Linked DNA regions of Oryctolagus cuniculus. The protein of the gene in region 1 binds, or shares a complex with, the protein of each later gene. Links are inferred from orthologs where the notes say so. Each region holds a gene or a part of one and is shown in the gene's direction. Other genes may lie near its edges.

Evidence for each region. The genes of interacting proteins can lie anywhere in the genome.
Region 2: TAF3 (region 1) and TAF9 share a complex: the UniProt entries of both Homo sapiens proteins name them as parts of the TFIID basal transcription factor complex. The link is inferred for Oryctolagus cuniculus from reciprocal best matches to the Homo sapiens genes TAF3 and TAF9.
Region 3: TAF3 (region 1) and TAF11 share a complex: the UniProt entries of both Homo sapiens proteins name them as parts of the TFIID basal transcription factor complex. The link is inferred for Oryctolagus cuniculus from reciprocal best matches to the Homo sapiens genes TAF3 and TAF11.

What each region holds. Positions count from the first base shown.
Region 1 is NC_091444.1:75,463,658-75,471,181, reverse strand, and holds the start of TAF3 (transcription initiation factor TFIID subunit 3), read left to right. Parts: upstream 1-3,367; coding exon 3,368-3,764; intron 3,765-4,025; exon of another isoform or gene 4,026-4,164; intron 4,165-7,045; exon of another isoform or gene 7,046-7,101; intron 7,102-7,524. UniProt on the Homo sapiens protein: The TFIID basal transcription factor complex plays a major role in the initiation of RNA polymerase II (Pol II)-dependent transcription.
Region 2 is NC_091445.1:90,324,898-90,332,357, reverse strand, and holds TAF9 (transcription initiation factor TFIID subunit 9), read left to right. Parts: upstream 1-2,614; 5' UTR 2,615-2,661; exon of another isoform or gene 2,662-2,734; intron 2,735-2,952; exon of another isoform or gene 2,953-2,968; coding exon of another isoform or gene 2,969-3,260; intron 3,261-5,135; coding exon of another isoform or gene 5,136-5,228; intron 5,229-5,980; 5' UTR 5,981-6,007; coding exon 6,008-6,802; 3' UTR 6,803-7,024; downstream 7,025-7,460. Other genes in the region: cell cycle checkpoint protein RAD17, read right to left, coding at 1,006-1,109, 2,168-2,378; AK6 (adenylate kinase isoenzyme 6), read left to right, coding at 2,969-3,260, 5,136-5,228. UniProt on the Homo sapiens protein: The TFIID basal transcription factor complex plays a major role in the initiation of RNA polymerase II (Pol II)-dependent transcription.
Region 3 is NC_091436.1:134,548,229-134,555,828, forward strand, and holds the start of TAF11 (transcription initiation factor TFIID subunit 11), read left to right. Parts: upstream 1-2,754; 5' UTR 2,755-2,863; coding exon 2,864-3,034; intron 3,035-5,504; coding exon 5,505-5,653; intron 5,654-7,600. Other genes in the region: ANKS1A (ankyrin repeat and SAM domain-containing protein 1A), read right to left, coding at 1,262-1,455. UniProt on the Homo sapiens protein: The TFIID basal transcription factor complex plays a major role in the initiation of RNA polymerase II (Pol II)-dependent transcription.

The sequences.
Region 1 (7,524 bases):
AAGCTATTTGTATTGATAAGAAATGGACACATATTCTAGATATGGATTTGTCTTTCCTGCTTACGATGTTGGATCCACTGATGTCCCATATCATACTGCATCAGTATAAGGAACCTATTTTACTACAGAGCAGGTGGGGAAGCAGGCACAATGCCATGAAATCCACTAGTCCTAAAACATGCCATACCACACAGAAGGTGTCAGCCTGGCAGAGCAACAGAAAGACCTTATTGTGGGCACAGCTAAAGCACCAGCTCACAGGCAATGAATAGCATGTGAAGCACTGGTGCATGGTATCCAGGGCTGCAATCCCCCACAATGCTGTGCGCCTTTTAAGTCAACGACCTTTCCATGAGGCTGGGTTCCCAACAGGCAGATGATACGGGGTAGAGGCCAGTTCCTCCACTTACTATTACTTTCAGTGACCCCCCACCCCCGAGGAGGGGGTGTGGAATTGCTCTTTCCGTACCTAAAACTGGGTTCTTCAGATGTAGGTCCAATTTCTAAAAGGGGGGACTTCTTTCATCAGGAACACATCCTGGGGTCCTGCTAAAGTATCAGCCATCCTTGGACATTTTGGCCAGGAGACAGCAGCAAAGTGGGGAGTTCCCTCACAGGCAGGAGCAGTGAACCCTGATTAACAGGAGAATGTCAGGCTACCATTACAGTGAGGAATCAAGGACTGCCCAGCACCTAGGTGCTCTGTTCTGGTACCCTCATGCCCGATTTTAATGGTCCATAGGCTAGTTCAGCGGCCACAGTCTGAAAAGGACATGGAAATTAGGGGCTCAGAACCACTGCGTAGGAGGGTCTGGGTCACTCCACCAGAAGACGGGTGAGAGAAACATCCAATGGGCAGTCAAGGAGGAAGACGAGGAGTACCAACTGAGGCCAGGCTGCAGAAGTAGGGGTTGTAATTAGTCTTTTTTTTTTTTTTTTTTTTGACAGGCAGAGTGGACAGTGAGAGAGAGAGACAGAGAGAGAAAGGTCTTCCTTTTGCCGTTGGTTCACCCTCCAATGGCCGCCGCTGCAGCCGGCGCACCGCGCTGATCCTGGCAGGAGCCAGGAGCCAGGTGCTTTTCCTGGTCTCCCATGGGGTGCAGGGCCCAAGCACCTGGGCCATCCTCCACTGCACTCCCTGGCCATAGCAGAGAGCTGGCCTGGAAGAGGGGCAACCGGGACAGAATCCGGCGCCCCAACCGGGACTAGAACCCGGTGTGCCGGCGCCGCAAGGTGGAGGATTAGCCTATTGAGCCACGGCGCCGGCCCTGTAATTAGTCTCTTGATCTTCCTCTTTTGACACAGAAGAGGCCCCTCCTGAAGCATGGAGGAGCTACTTCTTGAACTGACACCAAGAAATTGATTCAAGGGAACAATGGGTGGAGCGCCTGAGAGTTGTCATGCACTGCTCAGAGCCCCCTCCCCCAGGACTGAAGTCATGCCACAGTGACCTGTCAACATAGGAATACAAGGACCAGCCTCCAAGTCCCAAGTTAAGGTAACTCTGAAGGGTATCCCCCCCTCAGCACTCTCTATGGGACTGGCTGAGGTTTACCCTGACAGCACCTTGCAGTCCTGCCTCTGTACCCTCCCTTCCACAGAAGGTATCTCAGAAGAACTTCTAGATAAAACTTCTGCAAACTCATCTCCATCTTACAGTTGGCTTCCCTGGTTACCAAACCTGTAACATATAGTCATACATATGGTTATGAGGAATGTTCTCCTATTGGGAACACACACACACACACACACACACACACAAAGTATTGCAGGTTAAGTGTCATGAAGTTTGCAACTTAGTTTCAAACTTCTGAAAGAAAAAAAGTGTGTGTGTATCCATACAGCCAAAGACATAATAAATATGGCAAAAAGTTAACAATGGGTCAATGAAGATGAAAGTGTATACCTGTATTTAAACTTTTCTGTTTCAACTTTTTTGTAGATTTGAAATGTTCCAAAATGTTCTGCCCCAGAATACATCTCTCACCTGCGCCTCGCATTGCCAGTTTCCCCCACCCAATCCCCACATCCCTAGGCACAGGTGAATGAAGAAAAGGAACACCCAGAATGGGTGTGGAAACTATTTGTGAAATCCAAGGTTCCAGAGAGTTCATAAATTAAGGAACTGCTGAATATTATGAACGTGCAACAAAACGGTCAGGTAAGGCTAAAATTGACAAGTTCCCATTGATGTAAGTATCAAAAAGGTTCCTGATAGTCTTGGAGACAAAAGCGTTGGTAAACACCATAGACATCTTTCACCTAGCGTCTTGCTCCTTCTCTGCAGATTGTCATTTTGCTGATGCATCATATTTTCACATCAATTGGGTTTTCAAAAATTTTTTTTAAAAACTGAGCACTATGTTCAAGGTTTTGGAATAGTCCCTATAGAAGGAATACAAAGCTACTCAGAAACTCAGTTTATTGCGCTTGCCTCATAAACGGATGTGGTAAACACACAGTGCATGCCTAACAAACTGAGTAGGTCAGCCATTCCAACCTGGCTACCCATGTGCTGTGCGCAGCTTAACAGAGGGATGAGTTTTGCTTCCAAACAAATACTTTTAAATTGTGTTTCCAATATTTAAAAATCAAGATACATTTCAGAACACCCTAATCTCTGGCATCTTGAAAAGATCCAACAATGTTTGCCTGAAAGTGGCAGAAGGCTTTGGAGCAGACAACGGTTCTCAGGGTACTCCACTCGTGTCGCTTACTTAAGGCCTCTGTAGGCAACTGAATACCCCATTCCCTGGACAGGTCACTGTCGCTGGCAATGTCCACCCCACCGCTCCCCACCCCCACCATGAACAGCCCACCTGGCTTTTTTTTTTTTTTAAGCATGATTGGAAGCAGGGCTGGAGTTAGTATGAAATGAGAACTGTGGGCGTGGATTTCGATTTAAAAAAAAAAAAAAACCGTATGACAATATTAATTGATCCCGGCTAGTGAGTTCTTTGGAGCCCCCAGTAATTTGGCAGCCCTAGTATTAGGGGCTTTGAATGACATGCAGAACAGCTTGGACTTCATTTAACGTATACGGCAGCTAGCATGCCAAAAAGCACAGGCAAGACAGGATCAGATCCGCGTTTTGAGCAGCAAGTTCCTCTTCCCCAAACTTATAACTCTGTACTAATGTTAACCCTTCTACCCCTAAAACGCTAACGACTTCCTCTTCCTTCTCCCCCAGGTGAAAGCCCCCCAACCCAGGAACCCTGCCACCTGCCGCCCCAGAATACATCTCCCACCTGCGCCTCGCATCGCCAGTTTCCGGTCGACATTCAGACCCGAGAATCGATATCGAGACCCTCGCTTTGCTCCCCCTACAGGGCGGAGCTTTCTCATCGGCGCTATCGGTATTTGACTCATGCTGCCTCTCCCCGGCGGCCGTCCAGCGGGAGGCGGAGCGAGTCCAAAATGGCGGCTCTCAGGCTGGCGCGCTCCTTGCTGCTGGGGTTTTGAGGTGGTTGCCCGGGGTCTGGGGGACGCTTTCCCCGCCGCGGGGGCCCTAAAGGATGAATCGAGAACTCTGCTAAGGTCAGGCGGCGGGGCTGGAGAGAAGTGGCAGCAAGGGCTGCGGTGGCGTCCACACACCGGGATGTGCGAGAGTTACTCCAGGTCGTTGTTGAGGGTCTCGGTGGCGCAGATCTGCCAGGCGCTGGGCTGGGACTCGGTGCAGCTCAGCGCCTGCCACCTCCTCACGGACGTGCTGCAGCGCTATCTGCAGCAGCTGGGCCGGGGCTGCCATCGGTACTCTGAGCTCTGTGAGTACCGGGCTGGGTGAGGGAGGGCTGCCCCGGTAAGTCACGAGTGACACCTCAGTCTCCCCGTTCCTCTCTCCGCATCCCCGGGCTTTGCGTTCTGCACCCCGCCCCGAGATCAGCTATCGTCTAGGCTTCCAACAGCCCTGGGGTTCCACTGCCGCTGGAAACTCTAGTCATCCCCTGGTGCCTCTTTCCCATCCGCTAACTTCCCGCCACCAGCCCGGAGCCCAGTCTCCGCTCCCGGCTCCCGCACCCTCTTACCTCTCCCCTCTCTGAAAGGTGCCTCGGTATTTCTCATTGTCTCGTGTTTGCTGCGGGTACACCCATCCCCAGAATGCCCTACACCCTCTTCTGCCCAGGTCCTTTTCCTCCCTTGCCGCAAACTACTACAACTAGTTGTCACAGGCGCTCCGTCTACCGGCCGTTTCTTACAAGACTGGCCATTCTCGAGCTCCTAACTACAGACTCGTTGACAGCTCTGCTCCGTTAGGGACATTGCCTCTTTTTTTTTTTTTCCCGTATCTTCGTTTCAGAGACAGCATCTCCACTTAGATTTTCCCCGAGGCCGACTGTCAATTTCGATTAACTTTCGCTTCCATCTCACTTAAGCACTGACTTCCTCTTGCATAGTTTTCTCAAGTGTGGTGGAGGGATCAGAGGCAGTTGACAAGATTCTTGCAGGTGGTCTGAGGTTTTGGTTTCTGAGTGAGTGTCTGGTTGTATCTATTGCTGGTGCTGTTTAATAATTTGGAATGTTTAAATAGAAGGCACGCATCATCTTGTGTGTGTGTCAGGGAGGGGGGGGCTACCACTCATTTAGATTTCAGGTTGATTTTTCAGACTGGAGAACTGGATGAAGTATTTCGTAGGATATTCGGTTTTGCAAAGAGGTTCATAGACTGAAACACAGACCCACACATACACTAGACTTCTTAGGACCCAAATTCTATTCCCAGCTCCATCATGCTGCCAAAATAATCTGTCCATAATGCAGTTCTCCTGTCATTCTTAAAAATATTTCAGTTGTATTCATTGTTTACAGGCAAACCCCCCCCCCCAAAAAAAAAACACCTATTAACAGCACACAGTTGCCTCTGTGAGCTACCATCTTTCTTATCTGCTGCCACCCTGCCTTACTAATCTGCTGAGCTACCTGCCAGAACATTTTAAGCCATCCTTTCCTGTATGCATGCTGCTTCCTGGAGTGTCCTTGGGCCCCTTCTCTTCCAGTAGTTCTGCTTACATCCTGAGATTCACTTACCATTGCTCTAGGGAACTCAGGTTATCTGCTCTCATAATTCTGTGCATATTTCTGTTATGCTGTTTATCACCTTGTTTTGTAAACTGCTTCTGTCTCTTCAGGCTCTCCTGGACACAAATGGGTTATATTTGTATTCTGTAAACTTGTCTGGGGCCACAATATAATAGGCACCCAGGAAACAGTTGTTGAATAAATGAGCTGATAATCTGCTACCATAGTAGTTCTTTATTGTCTTCACTTTTTGAGTCCCCAAAATGTCTATTTTTTTGAATGCCTGATTTCACTAATACTTCTAAATTTGGAACTGCAAAGTAACGGCATTCGTTATGATCTTGACAGTGTACCACCAACAGAATACTCCTGGCTTTTGCTTCTTATCCCTGGTCCCCAGACATCATCCCTGCATATACTGCTACTTTTATGCCCAGTCCAGGTTATGTTTTTGCTACTAGTTCCCTAAGAATATGGCTAGGTACTTAAAATAGCCCTTGAATACATAGTTACCTTTTCAGCCTTATACACAGAACCAGAATATATGCTGGCATTCCATGGTACTGGGTATTCCAAAGTCATCAAGGGATAATTGTAATGCTTTAATGTGAACTTTGTTTCTAATTACCTGATTTCTATAGTTAATTTTCTTGGTTTCAGTGAGAATGCAGTTTTCAGGGCCATTATTCCCGTTGTGGTTTGCTGTTTTTTTGTTTGTTTTGTTTTTCAGGCAGAGTTAGACAGTGAGAGAGAGAGACAGAGAGAGAGTTATAGACAGTGAGAGAGCGACAGAGAGAAAGGTCTTCTTTCTGTTGGTTCACTCCCGCAACGGTCGCCACGGCTGGCGCTGTGCCGGTCCGAAGCCAGGAGCCGGGTGCCTCCTGCTGGTCTCCCATGCTAATTTTGGTATACTTATTAGACATCTTTAGATTTTTTTTCTCTATACCATTCTGACTTTAAAATCAGATTCTGTAACCTCATGTTACCAGTATGCTATCTTTTTTGTCTTTTGAGCACCACTTATGCACTAAGACCTGTACTAGGTGTTACAGATTTAGAATTACTGAACAAAATTAAGAGTATCAAAGTATCAGCAAAAAACAACCAATGGCTTTTATTCCTTAAAAATTATTTTTTTCTCAAGATAAAGCATGTATTGGGAGTTACTATTAATTCAACAAATAAGGAATTTTAAAATTTCCCTTAGATGAAAATCCTCTAAGCATTTAGGGGCAGATGTTTCTGTATGAGTTGTATTATGTGAAAAATATGTGTGCATTGCTGAAAGCAAGTGCTGAATCTCTCAGAACGATTCTTTAAGACTAGTGCTGTAACATAATTATTGCACGGTATAGGGAGTAAATGCAGAAGGGATAGATAAAGGAGAGATGGTTATGAGCTGTGGATTCCATGGTAGATTGCTTTACAGCAAAGATGATGCTTGAGTTAAGCTGTGAAGTGTGGTTGTATGAAGGTAGAGAATAATTCCGGGTTTGAGGATAGCATAAACTGTGGTGACCAAATAAGATTAAGGATGAAGAAAATGCCAATAAGGCGACCAGCTTGACATATGTAGCTAGTTTATTTGAAAGGTGTTCAGCAGAGTGAAATCAGGTTCTGGAGGGACTTAAAAATATAGATGGAGAATGGAAACATGTGGTAGGAAACAGTGTATGTTCCTAAGTAGAAAAATAAATAGTGTGATGACAGTGGTATTTCAAGAAAATATTGCTGGCACTGGGGTTCAAGAGAGATTCCAGTGGACAGAACTTGACACTGTATTGAATAGTGAGTGGTAGTAGGAATAAAGAGAGAAAAATATACTGAAACCGTAGTAAAAAGAGGGAAGGGGGTCCAGAAGGTCTTGGGTTGAGATTGCAAAGCCTGTGGACGAATTCAAGATGATCAGTGTTTTTAGACAGAGAGGGTGATAACGTTAAGAGGAATAGAAGAGTTGAAATGCATATCTCTGTTCAGTAAGAAGAATGAGTATTACTTTATTTACTTTTTTCTTTTTCATACATCACAGAAGTAACCCATGCTTATAGGAAAATTCAAAGACTGCAGAAGTGTTTGAAGTTAGAAGTAAGTCTCCTGCTTCAACCATACTACTAGCTGTATTGCAGCTTCTAAGCCCTTGAACTGTTAACTGTTGATTGTGTGTCCTTCCAGGCTCTTCTGTGGGCGTGTGAGCACATGCATATCCAGTCCTTACAGAATTTAGATTATTTTTAATTTTACAGTGGAATTTAATTTTATAATTTTGACGTGATCCTAGAAGAGTTCAGTTAAAAAATTCTTTAGGCTATTGCATATCAGGATCCAGAATTTTCATAGATGTTTAAAAATATATAGAAGTTAAGTTTTGTTAAGGGACATGGGAAAAAACTTGCTTTTTGTAATGAAAATCTCATTACTTGTAACATTTTTAAATGTTTGCTAATTATTTTCGTCTACTTGAAGGCTGAGTAATATTGAGAGAGCGAGAGGGAGAGGGAGAGAGAGAAT
Region 2 (7,460 bases), on another chromosome or scaffold:
GGGAGAGTTTCACAGTCAAGGCTACCTGATTCATTTTCCTCTGATTAAAAGGTCGTTGGTATTATAATCGTGGCACCTCTCCCGTATTCAAGAGTACTCAAAGAGAATGTCTTAGTAGACCCATTGGTAGCAACTCTGATTTGCCCATTACTTACCCACTTTATAGTTGTATTTTTTACATAAATGTGAATTCCAATCTACTGGAAAAAAGAATCAGCGAAATTGATAATTTACTTAAGATCAGTGAAAATGAGAGATACTACCAAGGAAAAACAGCTACCATGCAGGTACATTGATACTGTCTGACCCCATGCCCTCCCACACCCTATCTTTCTGAGAACTGACACGCACTGGGCAACGAAGTACAGCCTGGGGTTAAGCTGAATCACCAACCACCATTCGTGTGTCTCTTTCTTCTTCTTCTTCTTTTTTTTTTTTTTTTTGAGACAGGCAGAGTGGACAGTGAGAGAGAGAGAAAGGTCTTCCTTTTGCCGTTGGTTCACCCTCCAATGGCCGCCGCGGCCGGCGCACCGCGCTGATCCGATGGCAGGAGCCAGGAGCCAGGTGCTTTTCCTGGTCTCCCATGGGGTGCAGGGCCCAAGCACTTGGGCCATCCTCCACTGCACTCCCTGGCCACAGCAGAGAGCTGGCCTGGAAGAGGAGCAACCGGGACAGAATCCGGCGCCCCGACCGGGACTAGAACCCGGTGTGCCGGCGCCACAGCAGAGGATTAGCCTAGTGAGCCGCGGCGCCGGCCTTTCTATGCTCTTTCATTCGAGAGTTTTTAGCCTTTTCTTTGTGACTGGGCTTGCAAACACTTTTTCAAAATTAAAATTGTGCTTTTAGGTTCAGTTGTTCCAGAACTTATTAACAGACTTGTTTAGATCACTAATTTCAAAAAAAAATGGGCACCATTATTCTGATAGCAGTCAGTCATTAAGAGCATGTGTAAAAACACCTAATTCATTTAGGTAACTATCACATGGCCATTTTAGTGTGACATACCTTTGTGGAAGACACCTTTGGTCTAAGAAAAGTGTTTGACATCATAAATCTTAATAGTTCCCATGCGTAGTACACAATCTGTAGCACAACAAAGTATAAATCACCTAGAGGAAATAGGAAAAACTCACTTCAAGTCAAGAACTGTAAGCACAGTTAAGTCGATATAACCAACAACATAACAACATCAAGGCTCAAGAACTAGTGAAAGCAAGCATGGTAAACAGGAGAAAAATCAGAACGTTACAACAAGTTAGAGGAATCTATCTGATGTTTTTTATGAGAAAACACAGCAACATATTTGGGTGCTGACCTTCTCTCAAAAAGAAAAATCAGGCAATTCTGAGAAGTTTTTAACACCAAAAATTAAACTATTCCTTTACTCCAATCCGTTGCAAGCTATTACATCTTCATTTCTAAAGTTTCAAAAAAAGGCAAGATACAATGAATTCAGACATATCAGTTACTTTGAATAAAACAGTTGAATCTCACTGTCAGTTTTTCTAGAACTTCCTTTGAGCACGCCATCAGAAAACGTCTTGGCATCACTGTTTTCCGATTTGCGTGATTCGTCAATACTGATGGAAAGCAGTGAATTCAACCATTTTAGGGCCGCCAGGAGGAACGATTTTCAAGGCCAACAAACTGTACCCTGGGAAGGTGTACTGGACTATCTGAGGAGGCACACTTCCACACACTGGCAGTCATTCACCTCTGAGAGTAGACCGCTATCAGCAATGCACAGTAGCAAAAAAAAAAAAAAAAAAAAAAAAAAAATCGATTCAATGTAGCCGACAGTCAGCACTGCAGCCGCTCAGTGAAAGCGAGACCGACAATTACCTCCTTGGAAAAGCAGGTAACTGTCAGCGACGATGCCCGTTTCCTGAAATTAGATGTCAGAGGCAGAAGACACGTTCAGGACCATCCCGAGCCCACCCACCACCACCCCACGCGCTGCACAGCCGGTCCTGAGCTCAGACATTCGTTCAGCGCCATCCTGCAACCAGCCGGCAGCCAGGCTGAGCTCGTCGGTCCCCGCTCCAGGCCGGGGCACCGCAACCCCGTCTCTCTCGTCCCAGGCGGGACGGGAGGGCATGGAGGCAGAGATGGGCTCGCGCGTCCAGGACACACACAGAAAACACCGCCACAACCGCGACGGCCTTACTTTCCGGGAGCCGCATTCCCCTCCCTCGTGGGCGGAGAGGAGCCAAGGAGCGCGGGGCCGGCTCCGGTGTTGGGGTGGCCACCCGACCCTCCCCGGGCTCGGCACCGAGCCTCTCGGGGGTCCCGCCTCCCGGGGTCCTTCCACACCCGTCGGCGCCTCGGCGACGCGGCGCGAAGGGCGGGGGCCCCAGGCGCGCGAGCGACATAGGCATCCAGCGCACTGCCTGACTCAGAGCGCGCAGCGAGCTGGCTCCCGGCCTCCATTCACGCCACGGAAGCGTGTCACAGAAGCCCAGGGAACCGCTGGCGGCGGCTGGGACTGCGGAGCTGGGCCGGGAGCGGGCGCCCGGCACGGCCTCGAGGACCCCGCGGCCGCCGGCGCTGGCGCTGCCCGCCCCTTCCGGCTCCTCCTCGCGGTGCGTAGGGCGCGCGCAGAGGAGGCGCTCGGGGCGTCCGCCGGGACGACTATGCGGCTGCCGAACATTCTGCTCACCGGTCAGGGCGCGCGGCGGGGACGGGACGCGCGGGGGGCTCCGGGCGCCGGGCGGGGAGCGCCGGGCTGCAGCGGGCGGCCGGGCGGGGGCCGCGGGGCGCGACGGTGGCCGGGGCCTGCGGACGCGGCGCGGGGCGGGGGCGGCCGCGGGGCGCGGGGAAGCCGGCCGGGACCCGGCGCTCCGGTGTGGGCAGGCTCCGTTATCTTTATAATAGAGACCCTGGTGTTCTGCTCGGAAAGCCAGCTTTGGCGTCTCTGGTCGGGTTGCTTTGGGGTTTCCCGGAGGTAACGTGCGGAAGCGTGTCGGCCATGGCGGAGGCCTCGCGTCGTGGGCCTTCGCGGGTGGGCGCGGGTGCTGGCGGCGTGGCGGAGCGCGTGCAGTCACTGCGGCCGTGTGCTGGGGTAGTGTCCAGGCGCCTGCCTCCCTTTGTGATGGGAGCGCACGCTGTGGAGCCCCCGGCTGCTCGTGAGCCCCTGCGGGTCTCGGACACTGACCCGCTGTGGCCAGCGAAGCGGCTAGAACGCTGGGCCTCTAGGCCTGAGACGTGTCCGTTGAGAGCGTCCTGCGCCGTTCGTGGGGGAATCTATGGAGCGTATCGAAGTATTAAGAGATTGTGAAGAGTTGTGTTTTTTTTTTTTTTTTTTGAAGATTTGTTTGTTTGAAAGTTACAGGGAGAGGGAGGGAGGAGACGCAGATCTCGCATCTGCTGCGCTGGTTCACTCCCGGCAGGATCGCAGTGGCGGGGGCTGAGCCAGGCAAAGCCAGGAGCTTCACCCGGGTCTCCTGCACGGGTGGCAGGGGCCCAAGCAGTTGAGCCGTCTGCCACTGCTTTCCCCCGGCCCTGAGCAGGGAGCCGGACTGAAGTGGAGCAGCCAGACACCACGGGCACTCGTACAGGGTGCTGGAGTGGAAGGCAGCGGCTTTGCCCCTACTCCACAGCCCTGAACCCTGAAAAGGTTTTTTCCCTTCAACATTTAACGAAACTTGACATTTTTGGCAGCCCACAAAGATTGTTCCTAGGTGCTGCGCAGTAGCCCCTCAGCTAGTGAGTTTTTAGCCTGTGAGATTCATTATGATGAAGATTTTGCAGCATCTGATTTGCATGGATTAGTGTCCTGATTAATGCTGTAAAAAAAAAATCTGGTGTGAATATTTTAATGAAAGTTGAGTCCAGGGTTCAGACTTGGTATAATATAGTAGACAGGGGTTAAATGTCCTGCATGTGGAGATTGGATTTATACATGTTAATAATGCTCAGATGTAATCATTAAAGTGTCATTAAACATTGAGAAGCTGAAAATTATGCGTTTGATTATCTTGGAATATAATTCTTTTAGACGTAAAAGGGGAAAGGTATAGAACAATGCATAGTATTACCATTTATGTAAAAGGCAATACAAGTGGCATGTGTTTTTGCACATAGGATATGCTACCTACACCTACTTCTGTGTATAGACACACATGCATAGGACTTCTTCGGAAAGGTATGCAAAAGACTAGTTACAGTGGTTCCCAGACTAAGGTTTGTTCCATGAGCAATTTTTTTTTTTTTTTTTTTTTTTTCTTTTTGGACAGGCAGAGTTAGACAGTGAGAGAGAGAAACAGAGAGAAAGGTCTTCCTTCTGTTGGTTCACCCCCCAAATGGTTGTTACGGCTGGCGCGCTGCGCCGATCCGAAGCCAGGAGCCAGGTGCTTCTCCTGGTCTCCCATGGGGTGCAGGGCCCAAGCACTTGGGCCATCCTCCACTGCACTCCCAGGCCACAGAAGAGAGCTGGACTGGAAGAGGAGCAACTGGGACAGAATCCGGCGCCCCCACCGGGACTAGACCCCGGAGTGCCTGTGCCGCAGGCGGAGGATTAACCTAGTGAGCTGCGGTGCCGGCCAATGAACAATTTCTTAATCTTTTAAAATAAAAGCAAATAAATGACAGTAATTGATTTGAGGTGGCTGATTTTATTGTGGGCAGTCTGACGTTGGTGGCAGCAGTCAGAATTTGTATTCCCACCCATGGAGAAACATTGCGTGATTCTGACATCCAGAGCTTTTTTGCAGAAAAATTTTTTTAATTCGGGAGAGCACTCATGCATGTTCTCATCCACTGATGGACTCCCCAAATGCCTGTGCTGCCAGAAACCAGGAAGTCAGCTCAGTCCTGCTACCTGGATACTTGAGCAGTCCTCTGCCTCCTGGGATCTGCATTGGCAGGAAGCTGAAGTCAGGAGTCAGAGCCAAATACCGAACTTAGTCTAAACTCAAACATGGGAGGTGGGCATCCTAACCTCTACAGACACCTGCCCTGGGAGATTTTGTTTAGTTGGTTTTGTATATTCACATCTGGTTGCTTACTACTATTTTTGTATATTCACATCTGGTTGCTTTCCTACTAGGAAAGTTGTTAAGAACCTTACAAAGGGTGGAAGTAGTTGAAGTCTATAATAGTATTTCATAGGCATTTTTCTGTGATTTGTCTTACAGGTACTCCAGGGGTTGGGAAAACCACACTAGGCAAAGAACTTGCATCAAGATCAGGACTGAAATACGTTAATGTGGGTGATTTAGCTCGAGAAGGTAAGGGGATGCTTTAGTGTTGGGTTTTTGTTTTTGTTTTTGTTTTTGTTTTTCTTGCAGTCGGCTAGTGGAATTATTGGTACTGTTAGGTATTGTGAGAGGGTACAAAAGCAGAGACAGATTCCTATTATGGAATTTGTGCTCTATCCGGAGCCTACAGAAAAAGAAGATACTAAGTGTCCAATACTGTGTCCTTTTTATTTTGATTATTTCCACCTCCTTCTCCCCAAATTGGCTAGCAATTCTTGTGAGTAGAAATAATTAGGAAGGCTTCCATGAAGAAATTGGGACTTGGGATCTGAATATGAGGCAGAAGGAGAATGTTTTGAGTTGGACAAACACAGAGGTTTGGGTGATGCCACACATATATAGGACAGTGAGTAAATTGACAACATTAGAAAGATTAATTTTGAATTCAAGCAGTAGAATATGATTGTTCTATAGTATTAGATTATTTCAAAGCGGTGCATGTTTTTACAGATTTAACCATATTTTCCCCTAGTTTTTTAGTTAGTCCTTTATTTTTGTCTTCATCTTTTTATACTCTAGAATGATTTTTAACAGGGTAGGAACTCAGTAAGTGTAAGTAAAGGAAACTTTTAAGTGTGTCTTGTTGAAATTAAAAATATTTAACATGTTTTAAAATTTAAATTTATTTTTTAAAGGATATAACGCATATTTTAAAAAACTAAGTTCCTAGAAGTTGCTACTGAAGTTTTTCAGTTTGATCTAATATACATATTTTTTTCAAGTGATCTAAAGTTTGATCACCGGATATCATGGAGTCTGGCAAGATGGCTTCTCCCAAGAGCATGCCGAAAGATGCACAGATGATGGCACAAATCCTGAAGGATATGGGGATTACAGAATATGAGCCAAGAGTTATAAATCAGATGTTGGAGTTTGCATTCCGATATGTGACCACAATTCTAGATGATGCAAAGATTTATTCGAGCCATGCTAAGAAAGCTACTGTTGATGCAGACGATGTGCGGTTGGCAATCCAGTGTCGTGCTGACCAGTCTTTTACTTCTCCTCCCCCAAGAGATTTTTTATTAGATATTGCAAGGCAAAGAAATCAAACCCCTTTGCCATTGATCAAACCATATTCAGGTCCTAGATTGCCACCTGATAGGTACTGTTTAACCGCTCCGAACTATAGGCTTAAGTCTTTGCAGAAAAAGGCGTCTACTTCTGCAGGAAGAATAACGGTTCCGCGGTTAAGTGTTGGGTCAGTTACTAGCAGACCAAGTACTCCCACACTAGGCACCCCAACTCCACAGACCATGTCTGTTTCTACTAAAGTAGCTACTCCAATGTCCCTCACAGGACAGAGGTTCACAGTACAGATGCCTGCTTCACAGTCACCCGCTGTGAAGGCATCAATTCCTGCAACATCAGCAGTTCAGAATGTTCTCATTAATCCATCGTTAATTGGGTCCAAAAACATTCTTATTACCACTAATATGGTGTCATCACAGAATACTGCCAGTGAAACAAATGCATTGAAAAGAAAACGTGACGATGATGATGACGATGACGATGATGATGATGATGACTATGATAATTTGTAATCTAACCTTGATGCATGTCATGTGTACTTGGTCTTGAATCCATTGTACTGAAATTAAACAAGTATGTTTGATGTTTTCAAGTTGTGTTTGAGAAAACCTGTATAGTATTTAAGTATATATAAGTATAGTTTTCAGTTGAAATGTTGGATTTTCTTTAATAAGATTAGTAGTGGTTTTTCATCAGCCTTTAAGTGTAAAAAATAAAGTTGTTTATCTGTTTGATTATTGGTACTGTGGCGATTATGTTTTTAAAAACGCAGTTTTTGTGCATTGTTAACAGCAGTAATAGTTGTAATAACTTCAAGCTGTTGTAGTCCATTACCATTAACATGTAACCTCTAATGTCTTCAGATGCTTAGATCATAATATGACCCCTGGAGAACACACTCTTAGGGTGTATTTTCCCACAATATGACCCCTGGAGAACACACTCTTAGGGTGTATTTTCCCACATTGCTGAAGTATAACAGACTCCTGTGGAGAGACCACTTGAAGGTTTTCATTTATAGTGAATCCCCTTTTCTGGGTTTATCTTAATTCCTCAACTTTTTTTTTTTTTTTTAGGAGCTTTTTTTTTTTTTTTTTTTTTTTTATTTTTTGATAGGCAGAGTGGACAGTGAGAGAGAGAGACAGGTCTTCCCTTGCCGTTGGTTCACCC
Region 3 (7,600 bases), on another chromosome or scaffold:
TCCCACTCTTCCTGCAAGAGGTGATCTCCTCCCCATCCCAAAGTGTTCTCTGAACTACCAACAACTATGGTAAGTACCGCCATCAGTTGACTTGGAAATCTGCGGTCCTCCAGCTGACACTTGTATGATTTGATAAATCATCCGTATCTACTATAGGCCAGTATTGTAAGGGCTGGCAAAACAGCAGGAAACGGTACTGCTCTGCTTGTTTGTTCTTTCCTTAAGGAAACTCCCGGGAAGGGTTCTTGTCTTACACTGCCTTTCCAAATCTTCCTGTGAAGACCGTGGTTGGTACTCAGTGCTTAAAATACTTGACTCGGGCTTCTTTTTTTGGTCCAAGCTCACCCAAATCGAAGTAACATAAATTAATGGGGAACAGAAGCTAACGAAGCCATTTCTAAATGAACTTCCACTTCTTAAAAACCTCAAAAGAACAAGGAAGGAAAACAGGCTATGAAAGTGCTGCTGAACCAACATATTTTACTCAATGACAAAGCATCTCCAATCCCCCTTCCAAGCGACACAGAACTCATTTTCCCCTCTCGAACCTCACAGCTTCGGATTCAAGTGTCCAACAACAGACCCCAGAAAATTTTAAAGCGCCCCTCCATTTCCCAACCAAGTCTTCCTAAACTTTCACTTCTTGATGAACAGACCCCAGAAGAACCCTGCAAGGAGGCTCATTACAAGGAACCACAATTCGAGCCTCAAGCACGAGAGGGGCTCCAAGACGAACTCTCCGAACGTGACCGATCCAGAGACAATTCTGATATAAACAGAAGCCAGGTTCTGCACAGCCTGGCGGAAGGCTGCAGGCTCCTGCGGGAAGGGAATCCCCTCCAGCAGAGCCGCGGCATTCTGCAAGCCGTGGGAGCTTCTGCAGGAGGTGAGGGAGGTCCCATACACACACACAGATCATTTGCTCTCAAGTGGCTTTTGTGAAGCAACGACAGCTGGCATCCCACAGCGGGCGAGGGTGACGCCGGGCTGTGCCATGCGGCGGAGCGGCCACCTGGGCACTCCCACCATTCTTCGCACCCGGGTCAGGACCGAGAGACAAGGAGAGCGGAGCGCCGCGCCAACTCGGACCCGCGCCCCCTCCGGCTTCCTGTCCCGCCGGCCGCCTGCCCTCGCTCCCCGAGTACGCCGCGAGCCCACCCCGCCGGGTCTCGGGAGCCCGACCTCTCCAGGGACCTAAAAGACGTACGGGCGGGCGGGGGGGGGGTCTCCAGGCGGCTGCCGGGCCCCGGCGCGTACCCACCTGAGCAGACTGGAGAGAGGGTGGCTGGAAGAGCCGAGGCCGCCGCCGCCGCCGCCGCCGCCGCCACTGCCCCCAGAGGAGCCGCCGCCGCCACCCCCGAAGCCTGAGGAGAGCCGCTTCCCGGACAGCAGCTTCTCCACGGCCGGGAGGTGCCCGGTGCGGGCCGCCTCCAGCAGCTCCTGCTCCTTCCCCATCCCCAGGGCCGCCACCCCAGGACCCCCCACCCCGGGGCCACCGTGGAGCCGGCTCGGCTCCCAAACTTTCCGTCTCCGGGCAACGCACCCCCTAAACCGGCCGGGGACACCACCCCCCTCCCCCCCCGCCTTTTCCCCACGAGCGCGTCACTTCCGGGATCCGGCGTCACGCGTCACCGCGCCCCCATGCCCCGCCCCCTTGCCCACCTAGCTGGGCGGGGCTCCGCGTCCCTGTGCAGGTGGACCTTGGTGTGTCAGGACAGGACTTGGGGGTCAATGGGGCAGTGCCATGTGGGTACCCATTGAAGAAGTGGAAAGGGACAAAGGGGACCCACCTGTGTACGCCTCCAAAGTGCGCTTCTTTTCCAAAGGTTTTGGGAGCTCACGGGACAGGAAATACGGTAATTCGTCCCGGCGGTGTGGAAACAAAGAGAGAAATATGGTAATACGCACCTACATTTCCAAGTCCGTTCTTTAAGCATAAAGCAGTATGTAACAGGTGCGGGAGCCTGGTAATACAGAGGTGAATAAAACGCCCTGCCCCTCCCTCCGCGTGCCTCAATGAAAAAAGGCAGGACATTTTAAAAGCAGAAATATCCTAGCCCCTTCACCATCCCAATCCGTGAAATGGCTCATTAAAGTGAAGCGCTCAAAGGAGAGACCTCCCACCCTGTAGGGATTCCTCATGATGAGACTGAGTGGGTAACAGAAGTCAGGCTTGAGAAACCTATCCCGATTTTCAGCACTGGCGAACTGGAAAAATCATTTAATTCGGTAGAAAATGTTTTTTCCCTGTACTAGCGCTGCTCCGGACTCAGAAACAGGCAGTCAACACTCGTGGAGTGAATGAATGGGTTGGATAAACACTGCTCAAGCAATAGGACTTTTTTTTTTTAAGGTGCTCGTGAAATATTCGTAGAGGGGAAATGGTGGCAATTCAATGTAAAGTCAGGCCCGCAGTCTGTCCAGGTGAAATAAAGGAGGTTGAGTCCCTGCCTGAAAGTTTGCTACCCCAAGGTTACGCGACAGCCGCGTACAAAAGGAGCAGTTTTCTCCCAGGTCCTCCAACTTTGAGGAAGAGGTTAACTGACAAAGCATTCTTAGAACGACGGAAAGGAAAAAGAAACCCTTCAGGAAGCACAACTGCACTTCTTCACAGGTGCTGGTCTCCAAGGACGGATCCACAGGGGACTTTGCACCCTCAGCGTTCTCTCTCCAGCACCACCCACCCAGGATTCAAACGGAGCCCTCAGGTGCTCCGCGCGCCCCCCATGGCCCTTCCGAGGACCAGTAGTGGTGACGACATCGCGGTGCGACGACAGGAAGTAAGCGCCCACTGTGCCGCGCGAGGTCCGGAGCTCCGCGGCCGACAGCACCGCGATCTCCTCCCCTTGCCGTTCTAGCTGTGATGGACAATGCCCGCGAGTCTCCTGCGGACAAAGGTGGGGAAGCAGGGGAGTCAGACGAGACGACTGCTGCTCCTGGGGGCCCGGGGACTGCGGACACGGACGGGATCCCGGAGGAAGCGGACGGAGACGGAGACGCGGACTTGAAAGAAGCGGCAGCGGAGGAAGGCGAGGTAGGCAGAGAAGTGTGACTGAGGTTGGAGGCATACGCCGGGATTGTGTTACCCGGAGCTCGCCACGATTCCCTCTAGATCTGCCGTCCGGGGAGTGTGGGAGGAGCAACAAAACTGTGGTGCTGGTTTGGTTCCAGAGACTCGAGCATTAGGTTTTAATATGTTTAGTCCTTGCCTTTCGGGATTAAAGCTACATCTAAGTGAATTTTAAATAGCTTCTTGGTTTTCCTATTGATGAAGTCGGTACTGTCATCCCGAGACTTAGTGCAAGAGCCAAAATCCAGGATTCCCAGCGCGCCTTTCACCGCACTATAGGTCCTCTTAGTTAATTGTTGTTTAAGTACAGCTTTCGTCTTTACAGGAGGCAGAGTTGATCAGATCTGTTAACGGGAGACTTTGAAGTCATATTCTCATCCAGCTGCTGCAGTGTCCTCCGTGCTAATGTCCAGGGGTTTCTATAACGTAAAAACACCAAATCCATCAGCTGTGCTCTCAGGATAGCTCAGCAGGGTTGCCTAACCGCGCAACAATCGCGACCAGAATCTCAGCGTCCTGTGGGTTCCTTTTCTAAAGAGAGAATTTCTAGGATCTTAGAGGCAGAAGGAACTGAAGAGCTCATGGACTGAACGTTAGATGGATAGCCTTGTCACCAAAACATACACGGTAAGCTTTTAGAAAAAGAGAAGACAGTTGACAAAGCTGAAGAAGGAAAAGTTAAAATGGGTCTCAAGGACGCAAAGGAATTGAATAATTAGCATGGTCCACTAAAGGAGCTCACTACAATATAGAAGTTTGGAGCCAGCAGAGGATAGAATTATGATGCTTTTGAAACATTTTTAAAAATTAGGCCGGCGCCGCGGCTCACTAGGCTAATCCTCCGCCTTGCGGCGCCGGCACACCGGGTTCTAGTCCCAGTCAGGGCGCCAGATTCTGTCCCGGTTGCCCCTCTTCCAGGCCAGCCCTCTGCTGTGGCCAGGGAGTGCAGTGGAGGATGGCCCAAGTCCTTGGGCCCTGCACCCCATGGGAGACCAGGAGAAGCACCTGGCTCCTGCCATCGGATCAGCGCGGTGCGCCGGCTGCAGCGCGCCGGCCGCGGCGGCCATTGGAGGGTGAACCAACGGCAAAGGAAGACCTTTCTCTCTGTCTCTCTCTCTCTCACTGTCCACTCTGCCTGTAAAAAAAAAAAAAAAAAAAAAAAAAAAAAAAAATTAATCAAAGACCAGCATTGTGGCACAGCAGGTTAAGCTACCTGCAACCCCAGAATCCCATATGGGCACTGGTTCAGTTCTGGCTGCTCCGCTTCCAGTCTAGGCCCTTGCTGATGTGCCTGGGAAGGCAGCTGAAGGTGGCCCAAGTTGAGCACCTGCACCCATGTAGGACTTCTGGCTTCCACCTGGCCCAGCCCTGGTGGTTGTGACCAATTGGGGAGTGAACTAGCAGATGGAAGAACTCTGTCTCTCCCTCTCTCTGTAACTCTGCCTTTCGATAAAAATTGATTATGTTGGGGCCAGCACTGTGGATTAGCTTTAAATATGTAACATAATGCATGTAAGTATGTAAAATATTTATTAATATTCTTTAAGTCAGAATCACAAAGTTGGGGGTGGGGGGTGGGGAGTGAGCAAGCTTCCATCTGCCTGTTCATTCCCCCAAATGGTCACAGTGGCTAGAGCTGGGCCAGGCTGAAGCCAGGAGTCAGTAGCTTCTTCCAGGTCTCCCACATGGGTGCAGGGGCCCAAGGACTTGGGCCATCTTTGGGCCATCTTCTGCTGCTTTCCCAAGCACATTAGCAGGGAGCTGGATCAGAAGTAGAGCAGCCAGGACTTGAACTGGCACTCATATGAGATGCCAGTGCTGCAGACAGCAGCTTAACCCACTATGCCACAGCATTGGCCCCTACATATTTTTGATTTTCAAAGAATGTACTTATTAGAAAAAAAAAATGGCCTATCTGCTGATTCACACTCCAAATGCCCAAAACAGCTCAGACACTCTAATAGGGGACATGGACATCCCAACCAGCATCTCAGATTTTCACTCCAGGGCCTCCTTTTTAATAATCTTTCTAAATTGAATCGTCAATAGTAAAAATATCTTTGGATCCAGAGGAGAAGAGCTGGCTGGCTGGAGAGGGCTTTGGTGACATCCCCTGTAAGGAATGAGCAGGAGAGAGAGTCCATGGAGAGAGTGGTTTTCATGATCTTGGCCATTTCTTTATCCTTGTATACAGACACTGAAGCTGTGATCATAGCTAAACTGGAAAACTAGATTATTTAACTGGTTCTTTCTACAGCCTAACTAACCTTCCTTGAGGAGAGATACTGTATCTTATACTGGGTGGAACAGTCAGTTCTGGGACAAAAAAACTACACAATAAGTGGATCTGTTGTGTTATGAGGATGATGTCTTAACCTTAGCCAAGCCTGGAAAGTAGGACAAATATATAATAGAGTTCTTTTCATCTTCCCAGCTCAAAAGTCAGGACGTCTCCGATTTAACAGCAGGTGAAAGGGAAGACGCGTCATTACTTACTCCTGCAGCCAAAAAACTGAAAATCGATACCAAAGAAAAGAAAGAGAAGAAGCAGAAAGTGGATGAAGATGAGATTCAGAAGATGCAGTAAGTCTCTTTTTGTTCCTTCCCCTTTTCAGAGCTCCAGCCTGACCACACAAATTTAATAAATTTGTCTTGGCCTCTACATTTCTAACTCAAGAGGAAATAAACTAATTAATACATTGTTATAGTATAGAAAATGTGAATAAGTAAAAAGAAAACTCATCGCCCTGCCACCAAGAGGTATATACTGCCAATACTTTAATGTATATGATCCCAGGTGTTTTCTCTACACATATAACTTATAAAATTAATAAGTTTTTACAAGGTTTTTGTTTTGTTTTGCAAAATGTCAAATACTGGAGCCAGCATTGTGACACAGTGGCCTAAGCTGCTGCTTGCAACTCTGGCATCCCATTCTGCAGTGTCAGTTTGGGTCCTGGCTGCTCCACTCCCATCCAGCTCCTGCTAATGGAAGGCAGCAGATGCCCCGAGTACTTGGACTCGCTGCCACTCATGTGGGAGAGCAGGAAGGAGTTCTTGGTGCCTGGCTTCCACCTGGCCCAGACCTGGCTCTTGTGGCCATTTGGGGAGTGAACCAGTAAATGGAAGATCTCTCTGCCTTTCAAATAAATAAATAAATCTTTTTTAAAAATAAAAGTCCTATTTCATAACCTGCTTTTCCTATTATATATGGCATTTCTCATATCAACAGTTCTACCTCTAGGACATAATTTTTGTGAAAATGGAAATAGCTTTATTATATTTTCTGATTATAAAAGTGGTGTTAGCTCATTATAAATATAGAAAAAATTAATGCTATCGCAGCATTTACTCTAAGTATATATGTTTGGGTACAATAAATTGGGCATATACTTTTTCAGATTTTCAACAGTGGTTGGTGTATACAGCTAAATATTTTCCTATCAGCAGATACACCCATGAATCTTCATTTTTAATAGCTGCCATTTGTCCCATTATGTGGCTCAGCTGGAATGTAACCAATCCTGTAACTATGCGGGTTGAGTCTTTTCCTTTTACAACATTTTGAGGTGTCCTTGGACACATGTTTGCATATTTGTCCATTACTTCCTACAATAAACTCCTAGAAGTATAATTGCTGGTTCAAACAATATGAACATTTTCAAAGGCTTTTCTTTTTCTTTTTCTTTTTCTTTTACAGATAGACTGTCCATCTGCTGATTCTCTCCCCAAAAGGTCCCAACAGGCAGGGCTGGGCCAGACCTAACCTGGAGCCAGAAGCTTCTTGCAGGTTTCCCACATGGATATAGGAGCCCAAGGACTTGGGCCATCTTCCACTGCTTTCTCAGGCCAGAGCAGAGAGCTGGATCAGAAGTAGAGCAGACAGGACTCCTACCAGCACCTATATAGGATACCAGCATTTCAGGCGGCAGCTTAGCTCCTTACACCACAGCACTGCCCCCCTCCAAAGGCTTTTCATATGTTTCCAGACTGCACTCGAAAAGGTGTTCCAGTTCATACTCTGCCAGATTGTATGAATTTGTCTTCATAGTCTAATACTGTTCCTTTTAATAGTTACTTAAATTAAAAAAAAATATTACCTTGTTGTAATTTAGTTTTAGTTTCCTTAGTTAGTAGTGAAGGTTCAAGAGGCCAGTGCTGTGGCATAGTAGGCTAAGCTTCCACCTGCGGCACCAGCAACCCATATGGGCCCCAGTTCATGTCCCAGCTGCTCCACTTCCGATCCAGCCAGCTCTCTGCTATGGCCTGGGGAAGCAGCTGAAGATGGCCCAAGTGCTTTGGTCCCTACACCTATGTGGGAGACCAGAAAGAAGCTCCTGGCTCCTGGCTTTGGATAGGCCCAGCTCCAGCCATTACAGCCATTTGGAGGGCGAACCAGCAGATAGAGGACCTTTCTATCTGTCTACCTGTTTCTTCCTCTCTATCTGTAGCTCTACCTCTCAAATATTTTTTTAAAAGTGAGTGTTCATTTGAAAAATTTTTTCTCTGTATTTGTTGGCCATTAGTATT